Arabidopsis thaliana: one gene and its partners. The protein of the gene in region 1 purifies or fractionates together with the protein of each later gene. This does not show direct contact. Each region holds a gene or a part of one and is shown on either strand. Other genes may lie near its edges.

Region 1 (6,302 bases):
GGGAGTGACTGCAGGTGCTTATATCCTCACCTTATTCGCGGTATGTTCCTATTTATTTTTCTCTTCTCATTGCCCATTGCTTCAGAAGAATACTGTGTTTATCATCTCTTCTATGTTTTAAAACTTTTCAGATGAAACATAGAGAACGGGTTCTTGGTTTGATTCTTGTCTCACCGTTATGCAAGGCGCCGTCTTGGTCTGAATGGTTTTACAACAAGGTTATCACAAACTTGTTATATTATTACGGAATGTGTGGAGTGGTAAAGGAATTTTTGCTTCAGAGATATTTTAGTAAGGTGTGTTCACTGCAGTTACCATTGCTCTCTCTCTGCACTTGTTGCATTTCCAGACTTCTCTTATTTAAACCGGTTGCAACTGCTTGCTACAGGAAGTCCGTGGTAACGTTGAGATTCCAGAGTCAGATATAGCACAAGCTTGCAGAAGAGTCAGTGTTTATCTCTTCTGTTGTTTTTCTGTTTCATCAATAGATTGATTTTACTGTATCAGTGATTCACACCTTGCACTTTTGGTGATTGTCTCAGCTGCTTGATGAAAGACAAGGCATAAACGTTTTGCGATTTCTTGACGCCATTGACCGGTAACACAACAAACACCTCGAAATCCTTTACCTTAGAAGCATTCATTCATTCATGGTGTCAAATATTGACTTTTCTTTAACTTTATGCAAACCAAACCTTTGCTCTTGCAGGAGACCTGACATCTCAAGTGGATTGAAGAAACTAAAATGCAGGACACTTATCTTCATCGGAGATCAATCTCCTTTCTACTCAGAAGCTGTTCACATGGCAGCAACTTTGGATAGAGGATACTGTGCTTTGGTTGAGGTTTGAGAAAACGAATCCTCATCCTTTGTACTTTACATATAAACACATGTTTGGTTTTCTTGCTACTAATAGATGTTTTCTTGGAAATATTATCAGGTTCAGGCTTGTGGTTCAATGGTAACAGAGGAGCAACCACATGCAATGTTGATCCCAATGGAATATTTCTTGATGGGTTACGGATTATACAGACCATCTCTTTTCTCCGAGAGCCCTAGAAGTCCACTTAGCCCTTCTTGTATTTCACCTGAGCTTCTCTCTCCTGAAAGCATGGGATTAAAGCTTAAGCCTATCAAAACCAGAATTTCGGCGGCTTAAGTGTGTGTGCACTACTGATTCATTGGTTCTAATTTTGCTGAGGAGAAGAAATCTTAGGGCTTTTGTAGATATAGAACAATACTAGGGAGATTTGAGAAGAAGAAGACGAAGAAGAAAAATTCAAGCCACCATCATATAACACATTCTTTTGTAGTCAGCCGACACGACAGTTCTCTTGTTAAGATGCCACAAAATGTTGTTTATTATTTCATTTTTTTATACATATGTAAAATGTTCTGTTCTTGTGACATTGTAACAATTGTTTTGTGACGAACTCTGCAGAAGCAAGTAATAAAATTCATTTTGCATTTTGTTTTTGGTTCTCTAATTGGCCTTACAAGCACATTGATTTCACCAAGTTAGAATCTGGTTTTTGCTTAATATTGATATTTAATGGTTTAACAGTCTTGATCCTGAACTATTTGGATCATCAGATTGAAACTTTTTAGTCTGAATTGAATTGTAAATGGAAATGGAGACCAATCCTTCTTTGCAGAAGCCGTAAGTTATATACTGATATAAGATACGCATAAGGATTAGTTGCGGTTGACGAAAACATAGTCCCTCATGAACCGGGGTAAAGGCGAAGAATGCTTCACTTAGTCTGAACAAGTTCAATGCTCCTCGATGTTTGTCAAGCCCGTAAAATGGATGCAGACAAGTGTAAATCCGAGCCAAACCCGAATACAAAGTAGAAGAAGTGTATAAACTCTTGGATAACTAATGATTGAATAATAACATCAAATTAAGGCCATTTCTTGTATTGAACATCGTAAGATGTTTTGTAAATTACAAATACAACAAAGCTCACTTACCTCAGCACCTCTCTATAAGCGAATGGTCAGAAAGTTTTTCACTTTCAAAACCACAGAAACAATTATAACAACAACTTTATATGATGTAATCTGACCATTCCGAGATGAATGAAGTATGATCCATCGATTCTCCAGGACATTCCTCATCATGAATCGTTGGCTTCTCTTTCCCTCCGACAAGTCTCGCCGGATTCCCAACCGCAGTACCTCGACAAGGCACGTCAATCAGCACAACAGAACCAGCTCCTACTTTAGCACCTGCACCAATCTTCACATTTCCAAGAATAGTCGCTCCAGCTCCAATCAAACAACCGTCACCGATCTTCGGATGTCTATCTCCACAAGCTTTACCTGTTCCACCTAGTGTCACATGGTGAAGGATTGAAACATTGTTCCCAATCACCGCTGTTTCTCCGACTACAACTCCGGTTGCGTGGTCTAGAAGTATCCCTTTTCCGATCTTCGCTGCTGGATGGATATCAACAGCGAATACATCGGAGATTCTTGAGTGTAGAGCTAATGCTAATGGCTTCCGTGATTGTGTCCATAGCTTGTGTGATACACGATGCGCCTAATTCAAATTCAACAAAGCCAAATCATGATCCGAAATTCGCATAACTGAAGAATCAACCTAACCTAACCTAAAACAATATTCATAAATCAAATCGCAAGATATAGAAATTGTGGATTCATCAGATCAAATGATGAAGATTTCACCTGAATAGCTAAGAAGCCTTTGTAATTGAGGAGACAATGAGAGAACGAGATACAAGCAGGATCACGAACACGAGCAGCGCGTAGATCTGCGACGGTGGCGTTACGAAGAGAAGGATCGGAGGAAAAAGTGTTTAAGAACAGATCGTATAAAAGTGTGGATAAAAGCGTTGAGGAACAAAGCTTGTTTCCTAGATGAAACGAGATAGATCGTTCAAGAGACGAATGAGAAAGAATCGTCGAATATAGATAGCTAGCTAAAGCTGGCTCCGCCTCAGCATCACGGCGAGCTTCCGCCTTGATCTGTGTCCATAATCCGGCAGCTTCCGCATCTGCAGCTGCCGCAGATATCGCTGCTGACGCTGCTTCTGCTTCATCGGATTGGGTAACGGAAGATAGTTTCTCCTTTGATGGAGATTGATGTCGGAGTTCTCCGGCCGGTGGCATATTAACGCGGCGATAAGATTCGATTTCTATCTCCTCCTACCTATAAAAGTTAATTTTCGAGACGCTCTTTAATCGTGCGGAAATTTTTAAATCCATAGATTAAAGACAATGATAGTCCACCTGGTGCGTGATTAACGTGATTTTTAGAAAATAAAATCGGAGCCGTCAGTTTTATGCTTTATCAATAACCGTTAGATTAGATTTATCTTTCCGTTAATCGACGGTGGTGATTCTGCCGACATTCTTACCAAACTTTTTCCGTAACAAATTTTTGATCAAAAAAAAAAAGAAACTATACAAATTAACTACTAACACTACAAATTTGAAACGTGAATAAGTGGGTTACAATCCAATTAATTTAGGAGAAACAAAAGCCATATCTTTGACCTAGTCGATGTAGGTTTACTCCGGTTAACCAAATGGTCTCATCACTTTGAGTGTTGAAGTGAGGAAAGTATAATTACTCTTCTCTACTTTGATGGTAACAACTTGGTCTCGAATAGAAGGAACTAGCACTTGTGACTTTCTCTTGCTCATAAACTCGGGGTCACCGAGCTTCTGTAACTCAAGATGGCGTCGTTCCCCATTACTGCATGTGTTCCATGCATAATCAAAAGTGCTCAAAAGCATCCCTTCTGTTGCAGCAGCTTCCTACTTAATTAGATCCCATCTGATAAATCACGGTAAAGCAGAGAAACAATCACATGAGTTAGGATCAAAGGTGTATACGTAGCAGACCAACTAGAGAAGATAAGAAGACATGTATTTACTGGTGCCCATCTATAAAAAACTGAGTATCCTTCCGAGAATATGTCCTCATATAAACCCGAGGGCAAATGACCACCGCGTCTTCCATAATCCTGGAGTCTTGATTTTACGTCTACACATTGTCCGACATATACACCAAGAACATTATTATCAGGATCAAAGTTTTGGCCTTGGTCTTGACCGATGACGCCTACACCGAGCTCATACAGACCCGTACAACGTTGAGGGGGTAAGTCCTCATGTCTGTATCTACGGACCCTTTCTTTTCTATTATTGAAATCTTTCCAATCATTGTGTCTTATAAGATTCCGCCATTTGGAGAATGCGATGTCGTGTATAGTCAGCTTGTAGTCTTCTCTCTTGAACATAGTGGGGACGGCGGAACTGAATTCCTTTCCGATCAATCTGGTGATACATTATGACCATTAATTTAAAGCCTGAAGGACCAATAATAGTAAGAAAAAAAACAGAGGATAAAAATGCAACAACATTGTGAATAGATGAGATGATAAGAGACCTATTGTTCAAGAGCTGACTTATCCCCGGCATAATGGTTGTGCTTTTTTGCGTGCTAATGATTGTGTGTCGTATATGGTTAAACTTCAACTTCGCCATCTTCGATAATAGAACAAACGACATTGTCAAACAAAATAAAACAGAACAAAACGGTTCTGCTACAGAAAAATAATGAAAGAAGGCAGCTCTGATATATTACGATCGTAGATATATGGAAGAAGCGAAGGGAAGTTGAAAAAGAAATGGGTCGTTTACAGTTTTTCGCATCATGGACAAGTAACAAAGTGGAGGCATGGCGGGAAACGGGTCTATGTATTTTTAAATCTAAAAACATCTAATGTAATGCAAAGATGCAAGTCAACGATGTTAATCAAAACTGATTTTAAATTTATAAAAAATGAGATTGTGAGTCATCCAGTACAGATGATTGTTCAGCAAACCAATACCGAAACCAAAACGGTTTTGGTACAAACAATTCTGGTTAGGTAACAAATAACATAAACAAGTGATGCAGAGGTTAGGTGATTCTCATTCCCTTATGCTCTTCACATCTCTTACGTCCTTTTACCGGAGATCTCTCACAGATCAATCCATTGCCTAATTTAACTCCACAAGCTACGTTTTTTGCTGCCTCTGGCTGAAAATATACCGGCGAAGTATCGCTGGAAGTTTTCTCCTTATGTTGCCAACACCTTTTGCTTCCTTTAGGAGAACTTCTTGTGCAAGGTAACCCATTCTTTGTTGTAGCTTCACAGAAGCGAGTCAAAGCTTCTTCTTCGATTGACTCGGTATGCGATTCGGGATCAGGTTTCTCGTCTTTGACGGTTTTCTCACGGTCAGTTTGGTTAAGAAGAAAAAGAAAAGCATTGATCCTCATGCCTTTATGATCCTCACATCGTTTTCTTCCAGGAACAGGTCTCTTATTGCAAGGTTCCATGTCAGGTAAGATCACTCCACACACAACATCAGAGTCTTTATGATTGTGATGATCTTGTCCAGTGAAAATCTCGGACTTTGGCGGTGTCTGTTTTTCGGGTGAAACACGGCAAACTCTCTGTCCTTTATGCTCTATGCATCTCTTTCTCCCTTTGACTGGACTTCTAATGCAACAGCCACCATCTTCAAGTAAGACTCCACAAACAATATCAGAACAAGAACCATCAACCTCATCAAATCTGTCTGAAACCGGTTGAGGTCTAGACCGGGTGAGTTTGAGTATTGAAGTGAGGAAATTATTACTCTTCTCTTCATCAACATCACAGGTTAGCTTCCTCTCTTCTTTAAGCACATGCTTCTCTCCTTTTATTCTGATACCAACTTGGTTCCGAAGAAAAGGAAACAGCATTCGAGATATACCGGACTTTCTCTTGCTCATAAACTCGCGATCACCGAGCTTCTTAAGCAAATCAAGCTGCCTTCGCTCCCCGTTACTTCCTTTGTTCCAAGCATAGTCAAATGTGCTCAAGAGCATCCCTTCTGTTGCCTCAGCTTCTCTCTTAGATCCCATCTGATACAATCACATGAGTTAGATCAAAGTTGTATACTTAGCAAACCAATATAGAAGAAAAGAAGAAATGTATTTACTAACCGGAGCCCATCTGTATAAAATCGAGCCTCCTTTCGAAAATATGTCTTCAAATAAACCTCCAGTAACAGCCTTAACTGGAGATTCAATAGTTTCACAGTCGTTAAGGTTGTTAACATTGCGCAAATGAGCACCGGATCTTCCATAACGCTGAAGTCTAGACCTAACACTTTCAGCTTGTCCTAGATATGAAGCAAGAACAATATCTGGTTCAAGCTTTCGACATTGTTCTTGACCGATGACCGCTACACCGAGCTCATACAGACCCGGACAAGATTTACGAGGTAAGTTCTGGAC
Region 2 (8,036 bases), on another chromosome or scaffold:
TAATGGGACACACATAAATGCCAATGGAAGTCAGAGTGCCATAGTTATCAAAAGACCCAAAGAAACCACCAAACTCACGACGATCACGTATCTTCACATCAATTTCCACCTTATAGTTATCCATAATATTCTTTGATGATGAATATCTATCACAAATCGGGCCGTGTTTCCCCTGATTAGTGTGAATATTCAAATTCGTGATCCCTTTACAAAGATATATTGCACTCAACCCGGTCACAAACTCATCGTCATTTAGTCTCACCTGTATATTGCATAAATTTGTTTTAACGTGGTCATCAGTAACAAGAGCAAAAACAAACTATACATGATGAACAACAATGTTAATTACATAAACAAAATGTAAAGATTCCACTAAGAAAAATTACCAGATATTATAACTATCAGAAGGAAGAAAAAACATGAAGATGTATTATAACAAAACTTACCATTACGTGGAATCGACCGTTGTACGAACCATACTTTTGTTTTTGGGCATCAGACATACCATACTTTTTAGACACGACATGACCTCCGTTCTGACAATAGCTAAACTGAATAGAATTTATGGTATCTTTGTCGAAAGCGACATATATACTAGAGATCATGTTGCGTCCCTTCTCTTCCCATTCCAAATTCTTAAGATAAGCACGTTGTGACCCAATTGGTCCGACTTTGAACATCTCCCTACCACGGGATTTCATTTAGAATATAGCAGACGAAAGAATTAAGCTCGGATTAAAATATTTTCTTAATAAAACAATTTGTTCTTCTGAGGACGATCTATACTTATATATAGACGAAGAAAAGCTTTACATACCTAATCTCTCTAAGAAAACTTCCTTAATCAAAATGTAAAGCAACTTGAAAACAGTAAATTTACTAAATTCGAAGAACAAAAAAGTAACTATAAATATTTAATCTCCTTGCTTATTTGTTATTTACTTTATAGCTATAGTTTACCTATTTAAAGCTATATTCATCTAAGGATACTAGTAATAGTTAAAGCCTTTTTTTTTCTTTGCTAACAGTTAAGATGCCGATTTTCCATAGATTTAAGAACATTAGATGCGTCTAAAGATTTTTCCAAATATTTAATTAAGATGCTGGTTCCTTCCGTCTATAGAATTCGTGAGCCAAAAAGTCATAATACGTTATTAGTAACAAATGATGCATCATCTTTGGGTATACTATACATGAAATGATTCGTGACTTCGAATTTTGTCATTTAAACATTTCGTTTTTCATCACAAGAAAATGGAGCACAAATTTACAAAAACAAATAATAAAGGAAGAAATGGGACCATTTTTTATTATTACTTGAGAGTTGAGAAATAGAAAGATGATTGATCCAAAAATGCTACTTTATTTAAGATAAAACTCAACAGGCAACTTGAACTAGGCTACAAGGCTTTCTTGGTCAACTGTTTTCGCGTTTAACAACCATGTCGAGACTTGTAATGGGTCTCAAATACATACCAATCGATGTCAGATGGTATAAATTGTTAGACCCAAAGAAACCACCAAACTCACGTTCATCACATATTGCCGGATCAATATCTATCTTCCAATGATTTGGATAATTGTCGCTTGAACGTCCAATCATATACTCCCCGACGTTAGTGCGAAATGTCAAATTTCTGATCCCTCCACCATGCTTTCTTAGTACTCCACTTAATCAAGTTACATATTCGTCTTGATTCAGTCTCAACTGCGTTTAAACTTCATCAAAAACAAAACTTGACCGGATCTTACGCAAACGCAAAAATAAATAATTGTTATTGACACAAAACTTACAACACGAAAGTTGGAGCCCTCCTCAATGCCACCATGCTGTTTAGACAGGACTAGAGCTCCATTCTCCAAAAAACCAAACTGAATAGACATTATGACTTCGTCGAAAGCAACATATATGTGAGAGATCTTGCGTCCCTCGTAATCCCAACTATCGTCACCCATCACCTCTTCTCCAACACCGTCGTCCCAATAAGTATACTCACATGTCGATTTTTTTCCCACTGATCCTGCTCTTATCATCGCTATATAAGAAGCAGGCACAGAGTACAATAGTTTTAAGTGGAAGGAGAGATATAGATAGGCGAAAGGACGATTATATAGGAGACTGTCTTGTCCAAAACTCGAAGAGTCGTCATAACTTTCATTTATGGATTCCATTGGGAGAAAGCTAAACAAGTTTCCAGGTACATTAAACAAAACGCTCGAAAATTGTGCTCAAGAAGAAGACTCTTCGTTTGACCAAAACCTCTTATGCCTTTATTAATAACAAACACCAAATTGCGTTGCGAATTGTAAATATACACAGTAGACGTAGAGATTTCTGCAGAAACGTCTATTAGAAGAAAAACAATCAGCAATAAATCAAAGAAGAGGTTCCTTGTTGGTCACGAAATTACAGAAGAAAATCAAAGCTCGGGCTGCATTTGCTCGCACTCTTCTCGAATCGACTGGAAAAGCTGGGTCGAGAGGTAACGTTCCCCGAAGCTCGGGAACACAACCTGAAAACCAAGATTCAGCAACTCACATATCAAACTATACATATGATGAATCTGTTATATTTTTTACTCCATACTAAGCTAAAATCCTTTCACTGATTCCCTACGTTGGGCTATAGTAATTGAATAATAAGCTCCTCTCTTGTTCTTTGCAATGACTAGGGTTTGGTGTGGCAGAGAGATTAAGCTCCTCTCTTGTTCTTTGCAATGACTAGGGTTTGGTGTGGCAGAGAGATTAAGGCAACGTAAACGTTCATTAGACGTATAAACCAAACCAACTACTCAAATACAAATGTTAAAATAAGTAGTAAGACTCTAAAAGGACCAAGGTTCATGATTAGATAACTTAAGAACTCTTTTTCTATATCATTCAGTGGTTGGTCACAGATACAAGACTAGGTTTTGGTCCATAAAGAAATTATGATGAAGAACATTGAGGACTTACGGCTATGAGTTTCCCGGCATTTTCAGGTCTCTTTGCAACCTGGATTGCAGCAGCAGCAGCAGCTCCAGAAGATATACCAACCTGAAAAGGTTATAGTCGTTTACTAATCGTCATAGATTTCTCATATGCATTTACATTCGTTTTCTATCTTTTATAAAGAGTGTTCCCACTAACAAATAAGTCAAACAGAATAACAAATATAGACTAACCAACAAGCCTTCCTGGAGAGCTAGTTGCTTCGAGGTTTCAATAGCTTCCTCACTGGAAATCTGATAAGAAGCAACAAAACAGGTGAAGTTAAAAAGGAAAATTGTTGCTTGCTGAAAGTGAAAAAGATGAATGTATAGTTATAGAGAACCAAACCAACAGATCATACCGCTATGTATTCATCTACAATAGCCAGATCCAAATTCTTGGGTACAAATCCAGCTCCAATTCCTTGAATCTTGTGAGGTCCTGCATTTCAAATACATGTCAAATAAACGCAAGATAAAAAGAATAACGTGCCAGAGAAACAAGAAAAACAAAATCACTGCCTTACCGGGTTTTCCACCAGAAAGTATAGCACTTTCCGTGGGTTCGACACCAATAACCTGGTACAAGTAAACATCAACTAATTAAATATAACTACAAGTACAAGTAAACATCAACTAAATCTAATTACGGAGGTTATAACATCTACAGTTGATTCCAGCTGATATGCTACAAGCCCTCTTGCTATGTACCTTCAATTCAGGTTTTCTTTCTTTAATGAATCGACCAACACCAGTGATAGTTCCACCAGTTCCAATCCCCGCAACCAATATATCGATTTTGCCTCTTGTATCTTCCCAAATCTCAGGACCAGTCGTCTCATAATGAATCTGCATTTAATCTTATATCAAAACACTAACAAATACTTGCAGCTTTTACCAATGGAACCAGTGAATCCCAGATATAATCGTGATGATTCAAAACTGTATACCATAGAAACTCTACAACAATCCAAAAGGAAGTGCGGAAGAATTTCACTATCATCTCTAATGAACCCTTTCACACACCACCTCTTACTACTGTACAAGGCCAGAAGTAATCGTAGCTCATAATTCATGTCACAGTTAGAGAGTATGATGAAACAAGAAGTAATTACAGACCTTGGGATTGGCAGGGTTGTCAAACTGTTGGAGCATGTAGGAATTGGGAGTTTTTTTCAAGATTTCTTCAGCCTTCTGAATTGCTCCAGTCATACCTTTTGCAGGTTCAGTTAACACAAGCTCAGCTCCAAATGCCCTCAAAAGAACCCGCCTTTCCAAACTCATGGACGCAGGCATCGTCAAGATAAGTTTATAGCCTTTTGAAGCAGCAATGAATGCAAGGCCAATCCCTGTGTTCCCACTCGTAGATTCCACAAGAACACTCTAAAACATTTGCAGCAAGAAAACAAAATCAGAGGGCTTGACAGTTGACACTCAATACAGAATCATTCAACAACAATAAAAGGTCAAATCCATAATCAAATACCTTTCCAGGTGTTATAAGTCCTTTCTCTTCAGCATCAGTAATCATACTGTACCCAATCCTGAAATCACCACAACAACACAAGCTCAGAATGTATAAATGTGAAAGATAGCAAAACCAAAATCAAATTATATTTGGATACACAAACCTATCCTTGACACTGCAACATGGTTCCATGATCTCAAGCTTAGCAGCAACACTTGCAACACAGCCCTTGACTACATTGTTCAAGTACACCATCGGAGTTTTCCCAATAAGCTGAATCAATTCATAACATTCAGAAAGAATATAAAAAAATTAGAAACGAAATCAAAATTCAAAGAAGTCAAATTTACAAGACTAATAATACTCAGTTAGTTTATATCTTCCCCTAAATTGACAAAATTGATCACCAATTTAGATTTCCTCTGTCTCTATCCAAATGCAAACGAAACACAATCTAACCTGAGCGGCGTTATCGGCGATATTGAGCCCTTCAACACCAGCTTCTGGCTTGATAGATACAGCCTTGCACACAACATCACTCCGGCTCTGTCTCTTGAGCGTGAAAGCAGCTGAGGAAACATCGAAAGCAGCAGCCTTTCGAGAGGATAAGGAGAGAGAAGAGAGCTCTGGCGAGTATTTGAAAGGACGGTGGCGAGAAGTCAACGGATTAAGGAGAAAAGCAGAGGAAGATGTCGCCGCCATGACTTGCTCTTTTGCTTCAGTGTATCTTCCTCACTTTCCGAATATTGTACACAGAGAGAAGTAGAGAGAGACTAGAGATGCGGTTTAAACTTGAAGACACTGACTGATTAGATGATCGCACTGTAGCTGCAAAACGACGTCGCTGTTTAATTTCTAAATAAAAAAATCATTTTGGCATCTTCTTTCTACAAGATTTATCCTTTTTCCTTGAATGGTAAAACAGAGTATCTGGAGAAAAGAAGAGACTTTGAAATTGAATTAGTAAAGTTTTGTTTTTTACAATCTCACCAACCTACTAGTCTGATCCAACAAGAAGGTGAATATAGAGCACATGTTCTTCTTCATCATGCAGCCCTACCAAACTCTCAAAGGTCAGATAAAATCTTTCTGGATCTCTTTTTGTTCTTTGCCTTCTTTTAATTTCTGGGTAGCTGTTAAAGTTATTACAAACTTTTAGTGTAGTAAGGTACTGAAAGAGACGATTCTTCTTTGTCGTTATCTCTGTCTTTCTATGATTCTATCCATTCGATCCTCAATCTTACAAAAACTCGAACTTTGGTCAGTTTTGTAGACGAGTTTTGTGCCTTTGCTGTTTTTGTCTGATTCAATAAAAATTGACCGATTTGGCAAATTCTTAATCCGATTTGAGACATCGTTTTTTGAGTTTGTTCATTGGTCCACTATTCTCCTACTTTGTTGATTTGACTCTTCCATTTCTGGATTAGTAAGATGTGATTGCCATTAGATTGCGCAAGAAAGGTTCCTCATTTGCTCTGTTTGCCTTTGACTAAACAAATTGTCTGTTTGATTAGTTTTGGATGATAGGTGATGAGATAGTCATGGTTGTTTATTTCCTCCAATTGCAGGTTAGAATTTGCTATCGGATCATCTGCTAAGCTTGGTTTACTCTTCCTAGAACATCGATTGTATCGAGGTTTACTATTGGATCAAAGATGTCTGCAGAGGAGAAGAACCTTATAGAGATCTTGGAGGAAGGTCACAAAGTCGATGTTGTTAAGTACATTGATTATGTCAGTGCCCCTCAAGCTGGTGCTATTGCGACATTCTCAGGCACTACAAGAGACATGTTCGAGGGCAAGACAGTGTTGGAGTTAAGGTATGAAGCATATGTGCCAATGGCCACACGATGCCTCAGCTCGATCTGTACAACTGCTAGATCAACTTGGGATATCCACAAGATTGCTGTTGCTCACCGTCTTGGACCAGTTCCTGTTGGAGAAACTAGCGTGCTCATTGCGGTCTCATCTGTTCACCGTGCAGATGGTTTAGATGCTTGCAAGTTCTTGATCGACGAGTTGAAGGCATCGGTTCCGATATGGAAGAAAGAGGTTTACACTAATGGAGAGATTTGGAAGGAGAATTCTGAGTTTATGGAGAAAAGATTGGAGCTTGCAGAGAAAAGAGACAGCATTGTAAAAAAAACTGTGGTTGAAGAACATAGAAGAAGAGGTTGCTGTGGAAGCAAAGTTAGAGTAGAAGAAGATGAAGAGCATAAAGATATTACAGGAGATAACAAATCTTCTTCTTGATCACTTGTAGCAGTAACACTGTTTCGCTTTTTACTTTCAATAGACAAACTTTCTTAAGCACATTGTTGAATCTAAAGACTTATATGCGTTAGTTGGTTACTGGACTGGGCTTATACTTGCTACTGCTTGAATCTGTAAGAATCTAATCGAAGATACTGCAAGATTGTAATACCAAAGATAACAATTTTAAGGAGAACTAAAATGATGACCTCATCTGTTAAAGTAGAAGAAGATAAAGAGCGTAATGAAGATATTACAGGAGATAACAAATCTTGATTACTTGTACCAAAGAGCAATGTTTCGTTTTTTCTTTCAATAAACAAAATGTCTCAAAGCACATCGTCGATTCTAAAGACTTCAATTCCACTTAGAGTTGCAAAGGTTTCACAGCTTTGAAATTCAGATCTCTCCCAAGTAGATATTTTTATCACTACTGCAAGATCCAATGATAGGCTCGGTTGGGTGGAAAACACACTCATTGACAGAACCGGTATGGCCTGGGAGCTTATATATAGTGCGCCGACTGGTTGTGTCCCAGATATGAACCATACGGTCTGAGCTACCGGCAGTAACTTTTGTACCATCAGGTGACCATGAACATTTCAGCAGGTTCTTCTCAAAGTTGTGTTGATGCCCCTCAAAGATCTTTACACATCGGTTTTGTGGAGCATAAGGACGCATGTCCCACACACAGAGCTTGTTGTCCATTCCATTAGTGAGAAGGTAGGAACCGTCTGGGCTTAAGCTCATACCTGTGATTGTATCTTGATGGCCCTCAAGTGTCATGGTGGCTTCACCTTTTCTCAAGTCCCAAACCTTAACATCATTGTCTACACCACCAGTGAAAATCTTATCAGCTGCATCTGAGAAACTGACTGCAGTGATTTGGTATTTATCAGGAAATGTTTGTATGGCTCCTCTTTGACGCATGTCCCAAAGCTTGGCAGTTCCATCATCAGATCCACTGATGATAAGAGGTGGCCCTCTACGTGTAGGACAGCAAGAATTCACAAACGATGAATGTTCAGCCATCTTCTTGATTTGTTTCCCAGTCTCAACATCCCAAGCCCTTACAGTTTTATCCGGACTAGCTGATACAATCTGGGAGCCATCACTGGTCCAATGAAGATCAAGGATGGCGTTCTTGTGACCTTTCAAAACCATGAAGTTTTTGCAGTCCCCGTGAACTCTCCAGAGGAAGATTTCTCTGTCATGGGATCCAGATGCAATCAGAGTTCCAGCAGGATTGAACTTCATGGTATAGACAGCACTCGGATGTCCACTTAGCAACATGATAGGTGCTTCCAAGCTCGAGGTCCGGTTCTTGCCATTGGGACCAGGTCCTTG
Region 3 (7,750 bases), on another chromosome or scaffold:
GAGAATAGGGCTGGACATATGAGTAACCCATTCGAGTTCGGGTTTGGGATTAATGGGTATATGATTTACTACCTAATAGAATAATTCTAAATATTCGGTTCAGGTCGCGTCCAGTTGGGTTTAGGCCAGTTTGGATAAAAAGTTTCAGGCCCTAAAAATATTCAAAAAATAGAAACGGGTATTTTGAATGTAGATAGTGCGTCTCCAAACAAAAAAAACTTTTAAATTTATTAAGTTTTAATAAATTTAATTATATTTGAATATATTTTACTAAAGTTTGACAAATATAACAAATAATTTTGACAAGCATAGCAAACATAACAAAGTATACAATTTAATTTATACAAAATATTAATGTCCATGCTTATCTAGTCATAATTTATTTATAGAGAATCTACTTATATAAATAACAAATAGACGAAAAACAAAACAAAAAAAAATTATGTCGTTTTGTTTTTCTTCAACGGAGTTAAAATATTTGCCTATATATATAATGATATCTGAAAATTGTAAACATCAGAAACTTAGAAGTCTTCGTTTCAATCTTCCCAAACCCACAAAGAATGAAGAACTCTTCCATTCTCTTCGTACTAATTATTGTTGTTTTTCTCATTTCTTCTTCAGGTAAATTGCTATTTTATTTTGTTTTAATTGTCTGATATATTAATTTTATATCTGACATATCTTTGTATTTTTCTTGTTAAAAGTTAAAACTTAAAACTGGTAAAATTTAGACCCTCCAAAAAAAGAAACTGAGAAGAAGATGAAATATGTAAAACAAATATTTAATATTTATGTTTTGATGAATAAAGGAAACAAGAAGATGGTAGGAGAAGCAAAGAAATGCGACCAGACGTGGACTTGTGAAGGAGAAGACAAATGCAGAGAAAAGTGTCTGACTTTGCACAATGGAGTTGGAGTCTGTGATTTGTACACTGCTCCTTTGGTTCCTAAGCAATGTTTTTGCCACTATGATTGCTAATTAAGCTAATTACAACCCTTAATCCGTGTGATTAAAAGAATAAACTAATCCTCTCTCTTTTCCGGAATACAAGAATTTAAAAATGATATCTATAAAAGAGTGACAAAATCCAAAAAAAAAAAAAAAAAGCAATTAACTGTCAATATAAAGTAGAAATAGAAATCTAAAGCGTTTTAATGCTGATAATATGTTAAAAATAAAATCTAAGGTTTTAAATTTTTTCAGTTTTTTTGCTTTAAATGCTAAACTAAAGTAGAAATTAGATATACAATTATATATATAAAGAAAAAAAACAGAGCGATAAAATCCAAATATAATAAATATAAAGGTTCAAAAAGTACAAAATTAAATATTTTCTTATAAATATAGTCGAATATCTTAGAAGAAACAAATTTAGTTGAAGCCTACTCTCAACATTCACAAATCCAAAAGATAATGAAAAACTCTTCTCTTCTTTTCATACTTATTGTCGTTTTCGTTATTTCTTCTTCAGGTAACATTTTTTCTTTAAACATTGTTTGATATACTAATTCTGATCACTTTATCTACCATATCTAGTAGGATGACAAAATTAATATTTTGTTGTGTCCTTGGTTGGAACTCGGAACTGAGAAAAAAGATAACAAAATGGTTCCACTTCTTTTATATTGATAAACTTGTGTTTGTGTTATTATATAGAAAACGGGATCATGATAGGAGAAGCAAAAAAGTGTAGTAATTCATGGATTTGTGAAGGAGACGAGAAATGCAAAGAGAAGTGCATGGCTGACTACAAAGGCAATGGAACATGTTATTACCCATCTCCTCCTTCAAAACAACATCCTGAGTTCTTTTATCCTACATGCTGGTGTGGGTTTGATTGTTAAGCTCGATCTCTATCTCCAAAAGACCAAAACTATTGTTATCTTTAATCCATTGAATCTATTAATGATCAAGACATAATTAACTAAATCATTTCCCTTCTTTTTCTTTTATCATTTACTATTTTTTATACATATAAGATTTTATTATAGGAGTTAAGACGATGAAGAAGGAATATTAGAGATGGAATCACAAATTCTTTGGTTGCTAAGCAATGTTTTTTCTAAGCAACTTATAAGTCTAGTTAAGGTGCAGTATCACAAGTGTTCAATGACTTGCCTCATGTTTTGAGGCTTCAGGCTTTTGTTCAAACTCAAAACTAAGTGTCCCAAAGAGTTGTTGAGAAGCTTGGGTTTCAAAGAGAGGGTTTGCTCAGGAAGTAGACTTGTCTCAAAGGTGAAACCTATGATGTGTTTGTTTATAGTCTCTTGTCCTCTGATCTTTTTCCTCTTCCACAATCCTCTAGCCAAATTGTCTACTACTAGTAACATGGGTTGAAATCCTACATGGCCATTATATAGTTCTAGATTCATTGTCAACAAAAGTTTTACAGACTTACACATATATTAGCTAGAAAAAAACCACCAATAGAATGTCAAAGGACAGTCCACCTTAGAGGCTAGAGATTAGAGATCATACATCATCTGAAATCTTAAAGTTCATGAAACTATGACAGTGTAAATGTCGAACCGAAATCTTGGTACTTTTTCACCAAAACGAACCAAGTCAGGTCGTGTAAAAGCCTCATTGAATTGGCAAATTCTCTGCTTCATGTCTGACTGATTCGAACAATGAGGTCGATAGGTAACGTTCCCCACCGCTAGGGAAAATCACCTAAACAAAACAGACAGTAACCGATTCATTTTCTTTAAAACCTCAGTGAAATGGCAAATTATCTGCTACACGTTATGATTCTGTTTTTTTACTTACAACTATGAGTTTGCCGGCGTTTTCTGGCCGCTTTGCCACCTTTATCGCAGCGGCTGCAGCAGCTCCAGAAGATATTCCCACCTGCCAGACATAGAAATGTTGGTTTTATGGCTTAAACGAACATAAAAATGTTAAAACCAATTAAACCAGTGATTCTACCAGTAATCCTTCTTTCAGGGCAAGAAGTTTGGCTGTTTCAATTGCTTCCACACTTGTCACCTGAAAAAAGAATTGGAGATTACCAACATCTCAGTACGATTTCTCTGACATCTCATCGCGTTTACAAAGACAACACCGATAAAACCTCAGCTACATTACTTGGATGACTTCATCAAGAACGTTGAAATCCAAATTGTCTGGGATGAGTCCAGCCCCAATACCTTGGATCAAATGTGTACCTACAAACAGGAAACCAGTATCCGTTATGTGATCAAGAAAGTGATTTAGCAGCAAGAAACTCCTCGAATGATGTTTACTTATGTTAGACTCAAGAACAAGATTTGAACTCACCCGGTTTGCCTCCACTTATTACCGCACTTTCTGTAGGTTCCACACCATAAACCTGTTGATAAGAGAAGTGCTTGAAAAGCCAAATCTATAACTACTATGGTTGGACTTCAATAAAAGTTTCTCTACCTTAAAGTCTTTATTCTTCTCCTTGAGGAATCTTCCTGATCCGGAAAGCGTTCCACCAGTTCCAACACCGGCAACCAATATGTCTACTTCCCCTGCAGAGTCTCTCCATATCTCTGGACCCGTGGTTCGATAATGAGTCTGCAGAATAATCAATTTAGATTGATAAATATAGATAGAGAGAGAAGAAGAGCAAATGTAATGTGAAAGGAGAGTCCATACTTGCGGGTTTGAAGGATTTTTGAACTGTTCTAGCATGATACTATCTGGATTTTTGCTACATATCTCTTCAGCTTTGTCGATTATTCCTTGAACGCCTTTACTAGGATCTGTGAGGTGAACCTCCGCACCTAATGCTAAAAGAATGATTTTTCTCTCAAGGCTCATTGATGAGGGCATTGTGAGGACCACTTTGTAACCTTTAGCTGCACCGATGAAGGCTAAACCAATCCCGGTGTTACCAGAGGTAGCCTCAATCAGTGTGCTCTGAGTAAAACCACCAGGATCCAAGTATCAGTTTGATTTTTAATGGCGAAAACGAAAAAACACGAATGTATGATATAATCTGATCTACCTTCCCAGGAGTAATCAATCCCTTGTCTTCTGCATCTTTAATCATACCATAAGCAATTCTAGCAAGCGAAGGATCAATCAAAAGAAACAAGATATTTCTCAGAAACACACACAAAAGAACAAACATTGCTTGGAGCAGACAAAAGAGATAGAGAGAGGGTTATTTGTATATATACCGCTCCTTGACACTAGAGCAAGGCTCCATCATTTCAAGCTTAGCTGCAATACGAGCTACACAACCATCCACAATGTTGTTCAGATATACCATTGGGGTGTTACCTATCAACTGACACAGTATGCAAGGAACTAAGTACATTTTACTTGAGCAAAGGAACTAGAACTTTATTCCAGTGAAGCAGTTGATTAAAAAAGACAACTGAAAGATTATGATTACTTGAGTTGCATCATCCTTGATCGAACACCGGTCCTCCTCCATGTCAAAATTCTTCCCAATTTGAGTTCTGAAGATCACAAGAAAATCAAAAAGATTTAAGACACAGTCTGCAAGCAATGTCCCTAATAATATAAAACATTCATATAAATCGAAGAGTGTTTTGAAACTGCATGAGATCCAAAATTGTAAAGTGAAACCAAAACCATGATTTAAGTTCAAACTCGAATATAAATCAGAGAAAAAAAAAAATCGAACAGCAGAAAACATGAGTATCAAACTAAATATAAGATTTAACAATGAAACAAGTGAGTGAAGCATTCGTGTTCTTGAGCTGAAATCGAACTTGAGGAGGCGAAATTATGAAAGTTTGAAATTTTTGGAGAGAGAAACAAAAGAACAGTTCGAAAGATACAAAACCAGAGACTTATAGAAGAGCTTACCAGTTCCAGATCCAATCGAAGAAGAAGAAGAAGAAGAAGACTGTCGACAAAAAGAGAGAACTGTTCTAGTGTTCTGTCAAATTAGCGATAAGCTTTTATAAAGTGAATTATTTGCATATACACACACACCATCATCCACCACCAAATATATCCACTCGTTTATACATTTATAAAAAATAATCATGTATCTTCCATAGGTATTTTGTTAAAATCATTGTATAAACTATAAAGTCAATAACAAACCTACCTAACATTCTTTGCCTCGTCACGTGGACAAGTTTCTGCCTTCTTGAATCTTTAAATTGTTTTGATTATGCCTTTTTTTTTTTACTTAATCAGGAAAGGAATCTTCTGATGCGTACTAGCAAGAAACACAACATTGGTTCTTTTTTTCAAACACAAAAGTTTTTAAGTAACTACATTAATCAACATGATAAAGAAAGAGGTCAAAGTTTAATACACTTCAATAACAGTATCCGATCTAGAAATAAACATGTTATTACAGATTTTATTAGACAAAGAAAGAGTAGCACACAATTTAGAATTATTATTTTTCTTCTTTTTGAAAGAAAAACAGCTAGAAAGTCTGTTTGTTATTGAACAAATGATTCTACGAAAAAAGAACTATAATCTAATACAAAAGGTTATACACAAACCCCCCTCCTATGATTCATCCCTATTGACAAATAATTTAAAGATAAGAAGAAGAAAAAAAAATCAAAATGATGAAAAAACCTAGAGAAAGATCACAATACCTTACCAATTTATAACTTAAAAAGATCCAAATCTCTTACTATACTCACTCACACACCAGAAGGTTAACTCAAAGATATCAAATATCAACCTAAATGGTTCCTTGTTGTCTTATTCTTCTCGCCCTTCATCATATACCACTCGGCATCGTCTTTAACTCGTTCAATGTCGTTCTAATCTGCTCTTGAACCAACTCTAATCTCCTTGAATACACTTCCAATTCCAGAATCTGTTGTTTCCTCCACCGCTCATCTGCAACCGCCTTGTTTCCTCCTCCCTCTACACCAAAACCGAAATTGAACGGCCGTGTAAACATGGGGCTTAGCGAGCCAAAACCATGACCACCACCACCACCACCACCACCACCAAGACCCGGAAACCCTCCTCCCATTGCAGCCATCATCATACTTGTTGTCCCATTCATCATCTCTTTGATCACAGGAGAGACACAGTTTTTCACAGTCTCTTCGATCAAACCCCCGAGATTTCCTCCAATACCAACAGCTGCAGCTTCGTTGAGGTTGACATTGCTAGCTATTGGCCCATCAGAGGGAGTGATGACAGGTTTGTTGTCTTCCTCAATCTTCCCAATTCTTGATCGTGATCGTTTTCTCGACACGCTACTGCTACTCATTGTCAATTTCTTCTCGATTCCATTTTCGGAGTCGAGCTCCAGAGTAGGATTAGAACTAGGGCTGTTAAAGGTTGAGTAGTTACCATTGGTGGTGTTATGATGGTTATTGGTTTCTTCGAAATCCATTACGTTGTTATCTTCAAAGCCTATGATTTTCCCAGTTTGGTTCCAGATTTTTCTAGAAATCTCGAAAGTAGACTGATCATGAGGGCTCTTGAAGAATACCTCTTTACCAGAGCTGATCTTGCTCATCACATTCCTGTACTTCTTCTTCAATCTCCGAAGCTTCTCCACCAGCTGGTTCTTGTTGAAATCCAGCTGAAGTTTCGACTTTATCTGCTCATAAAACGGCGCCGTATCCGGCGGATGCGAGCTGCTTCCGCGGTGCATCGTCATGTAATCGAGAAAACCACGAAGAAGCTCGATCTCGTCTTCGTCTGTCCACAGCCTCTGGAAAAGGCGTCTAGAATCATCGATCGGTGGTCTCTGATGGACGATCTCCGTCATACGGTGCCACTTCGGATCGGAATCAACGGGAATCACGGAGACAGGGACGGCGGATCCAGCCGGAAGTGCAACGGTCACGGCGCCTGTAGAGGAAGTCGCCGTCGGGGTCCCGGAAACAACAGCAGTCGCTGAGATCGTAGAAACCATGGGGAGTGATGATGTAGACGGAGAATTGAGATCTTCCTCTTCGGGATCGTCGTCTTCAGCTTCAGCTTCGTTCGTTCCCGGCATAACAACATCATCGTTGTCGCGCAAATCCTCGTCGGTATCAGATTCTCCTCCGTCTGCTACACCTCCTTCGTCCGGATCAGGCGATTCCAGTTCCAGAGAGAAAAGAGCGTCGCGGTGATCCGATGTCATCTCCACCGTAACAAATGAACGGAGAACAATTCGAGATCAGCTCCGATGAGATGGAGAAGAGACCAAGAAGAAGAGGAACCAGATCCAGATTGGAGAGAAGGTGGTGTGTTCGTTCACGAGGATTGTGATTGGGTTGGGTGGTAGGGGCGTGAGAATCTTCGACCAAACCAGGGGTAGTTTTGGTATTTCCAGACTTAACGTTTAAGACTAGGCAAAGTGGTCACCCACTACTTACACACACGCGCTTCCTTATTTGCGGATTGGTTGGAGCCGTGACGTCCTCACTCGGTCCCAACCACACTCGGTAACTAATAGCGTTTTCTAAACGCGGTTATTTGGTAGAGCGTTTTCATTAACGTGATTAGCTAGGACAAAACAAACAAACAAGCCAACCTAAACCGTATGTAACTAATAAGACAGTACCCAAAACCAAAATAAGCATATGTTGTGCGGTATAGAAAATTATAATTACTGTTCAAATTCAGTGATTGACATGTAATTATCACAGTTTTTCCATTAAAATAGTAAGGAGCAAAAGTGATATAATAAATTAGAAACTTTGCGAGATTTCATAATTATGATCTAAGTAAATTTTCATTATATGTGGGTAAATAACATCGATAATAGCCAGAGAGACTCACGTTTACAATCAAACACAGCCGCACGAGTAACCGATCAAGAAT

What was found.
Region 2: the proteins of SERAT1;1 (region 1) and OASB purify together in Arabidopsis thaliana (affinity purification with mass spectrometry, with the first as the bait; one study listed by BioGRID). This does not show direct contact.
Region 3: the proteins of SERAT1;1 (region 1) and CYSD1 purify together in Arabidopsis thaliana (affinity purification with mass spectrometry, with the first as the bait; one study listed by BioGRID). This does not show direct contact.

What each region holds. Positions count from the first base shown.
Region 1 is NC_003076.8:22,959,447-22,965,748, forward strand, and holds SERAT1;1 (serine acetyltransferase 1;1), read right to left. Parts: upstream 3,268-6,302; 5' UTR 3,137-3,267; coding exon 2,693-3,136; intron 2,547-2,692; coding exon 2,052-2,546; 3' UTR 1,783-2,051; downstream 1-1,782. Other genes in the region: NDL1 (N-MYC downregulated-like 1), read left to right, coding at 1-40, 132-296, 389-445, 543-598, 710-845, 942-1,160; AT5G56770 (transcription repressor-like protein), read right to left, coding at 3,548-3,787, 3,907-4,309, 4,422-4,543; ET2 (effector of transcription2), read right to left, coding at 4,938-5,927, 6,009-6,302.
Region 2 is NC_003071.7:18,127,184-18,135,219, forward strand, and holds OASB (O-acetylserine (thiol) lyase B), read right to left. Parts: upstream 5,456-8,036; 5' UTR 5,140-5,455; coding exon 4,897-5,139; intron 4,711-4,896; coding exon 4,601-4,710; intron 4,514-4,600; coding exon 4,456-4,513; intron 4,353-4,455; coding exon 4,089-4,352; intron 3,819-4,088; coding exon 3,681-3,818; intron 3,549-3,680; coding exon 3,497-3,548; intron 3,412-3,496; coding exon 3,332-3,411; intron 3,225-3,331; coding exon 3,165-3,224; intron 3,037-3,164; coding exon 2,956-3,036; intron 2,659-2,955; exon of another isoform or gene 2,514-2,658; coding exon 2,421-2,513; 3' UTR 2,252-2,420; downstream 1-2,251. Other genes in the region: AT2G43740 (Mannose-binding lectin superfamily protein), read right to left, coding at 1-319, 447-701; AT2G43745 (jacalin lectin-like protein), read right to left, coding at 1,676-1,708, 1,795-2,172; AT2G43760 (molybdopterin biosynthesis MoaE family protein), read left to right, coding at 6,093-6,689; AT2G43770 (Transducin/WD40 repeat-like superfamily protein), read right to left, coding at 7,089-8,036. UniProt on the Arabidopsis thaliana protein: Acts as a major cysteine synthase.
Region 3 is NC_003074.8:1,362,346-1,370,095, reverse strand, and holds CYSD1 (cysteine synthase D1), read right to left. Parts: upstream 5,007-7,750; 5' UTR 4,814-5,006; intron 4,619-4,813; exon of another isoform or gene 4,441-4,618; 5' UTR 4,416-4,440; coding exon 4,374-4,415; intron 4,266-4,373; coding exon 4,156-4,265; intron 4,039-4,155; coding exon 3,981-4,038; intron 3,893-3,980; coding exon 3,629-3,892; intron 3,548-3,628; coding exon 3,410-3,547; intron 3,336-3,409; coding exon 3,284-3,335; intron 3,172-3,283; coding exon 3,092-3,171; intron 2,993-3,091; coding exon 2,933-2,992; intron 2,855-2,932; coding exon 2,774-2,854; intron 2,678-2,773; coding exon 2,588-2,677; 3' UTR 2,252-2,587; downstream 1-2,251. Other genes in the region: LCR18 (low-molecular-weight cysteine-rich 18), read left to right, coding at 564-624, 813-982; LCR41 (low-molecular-weight cysteine-rich 41), read left to right, coding at 1,418-1,475, 1,661-1,848; AT3G04930 (DNA-binding storekeeper protein-related transcriptional regulator), read right to left, coding at 5,697-7,067. UniProt on the Arabidopsis thaliana protein: Acts as a cysteine synthase. The cysteine synthesis reaction is more efficient than the cyanoalanine synthase activity.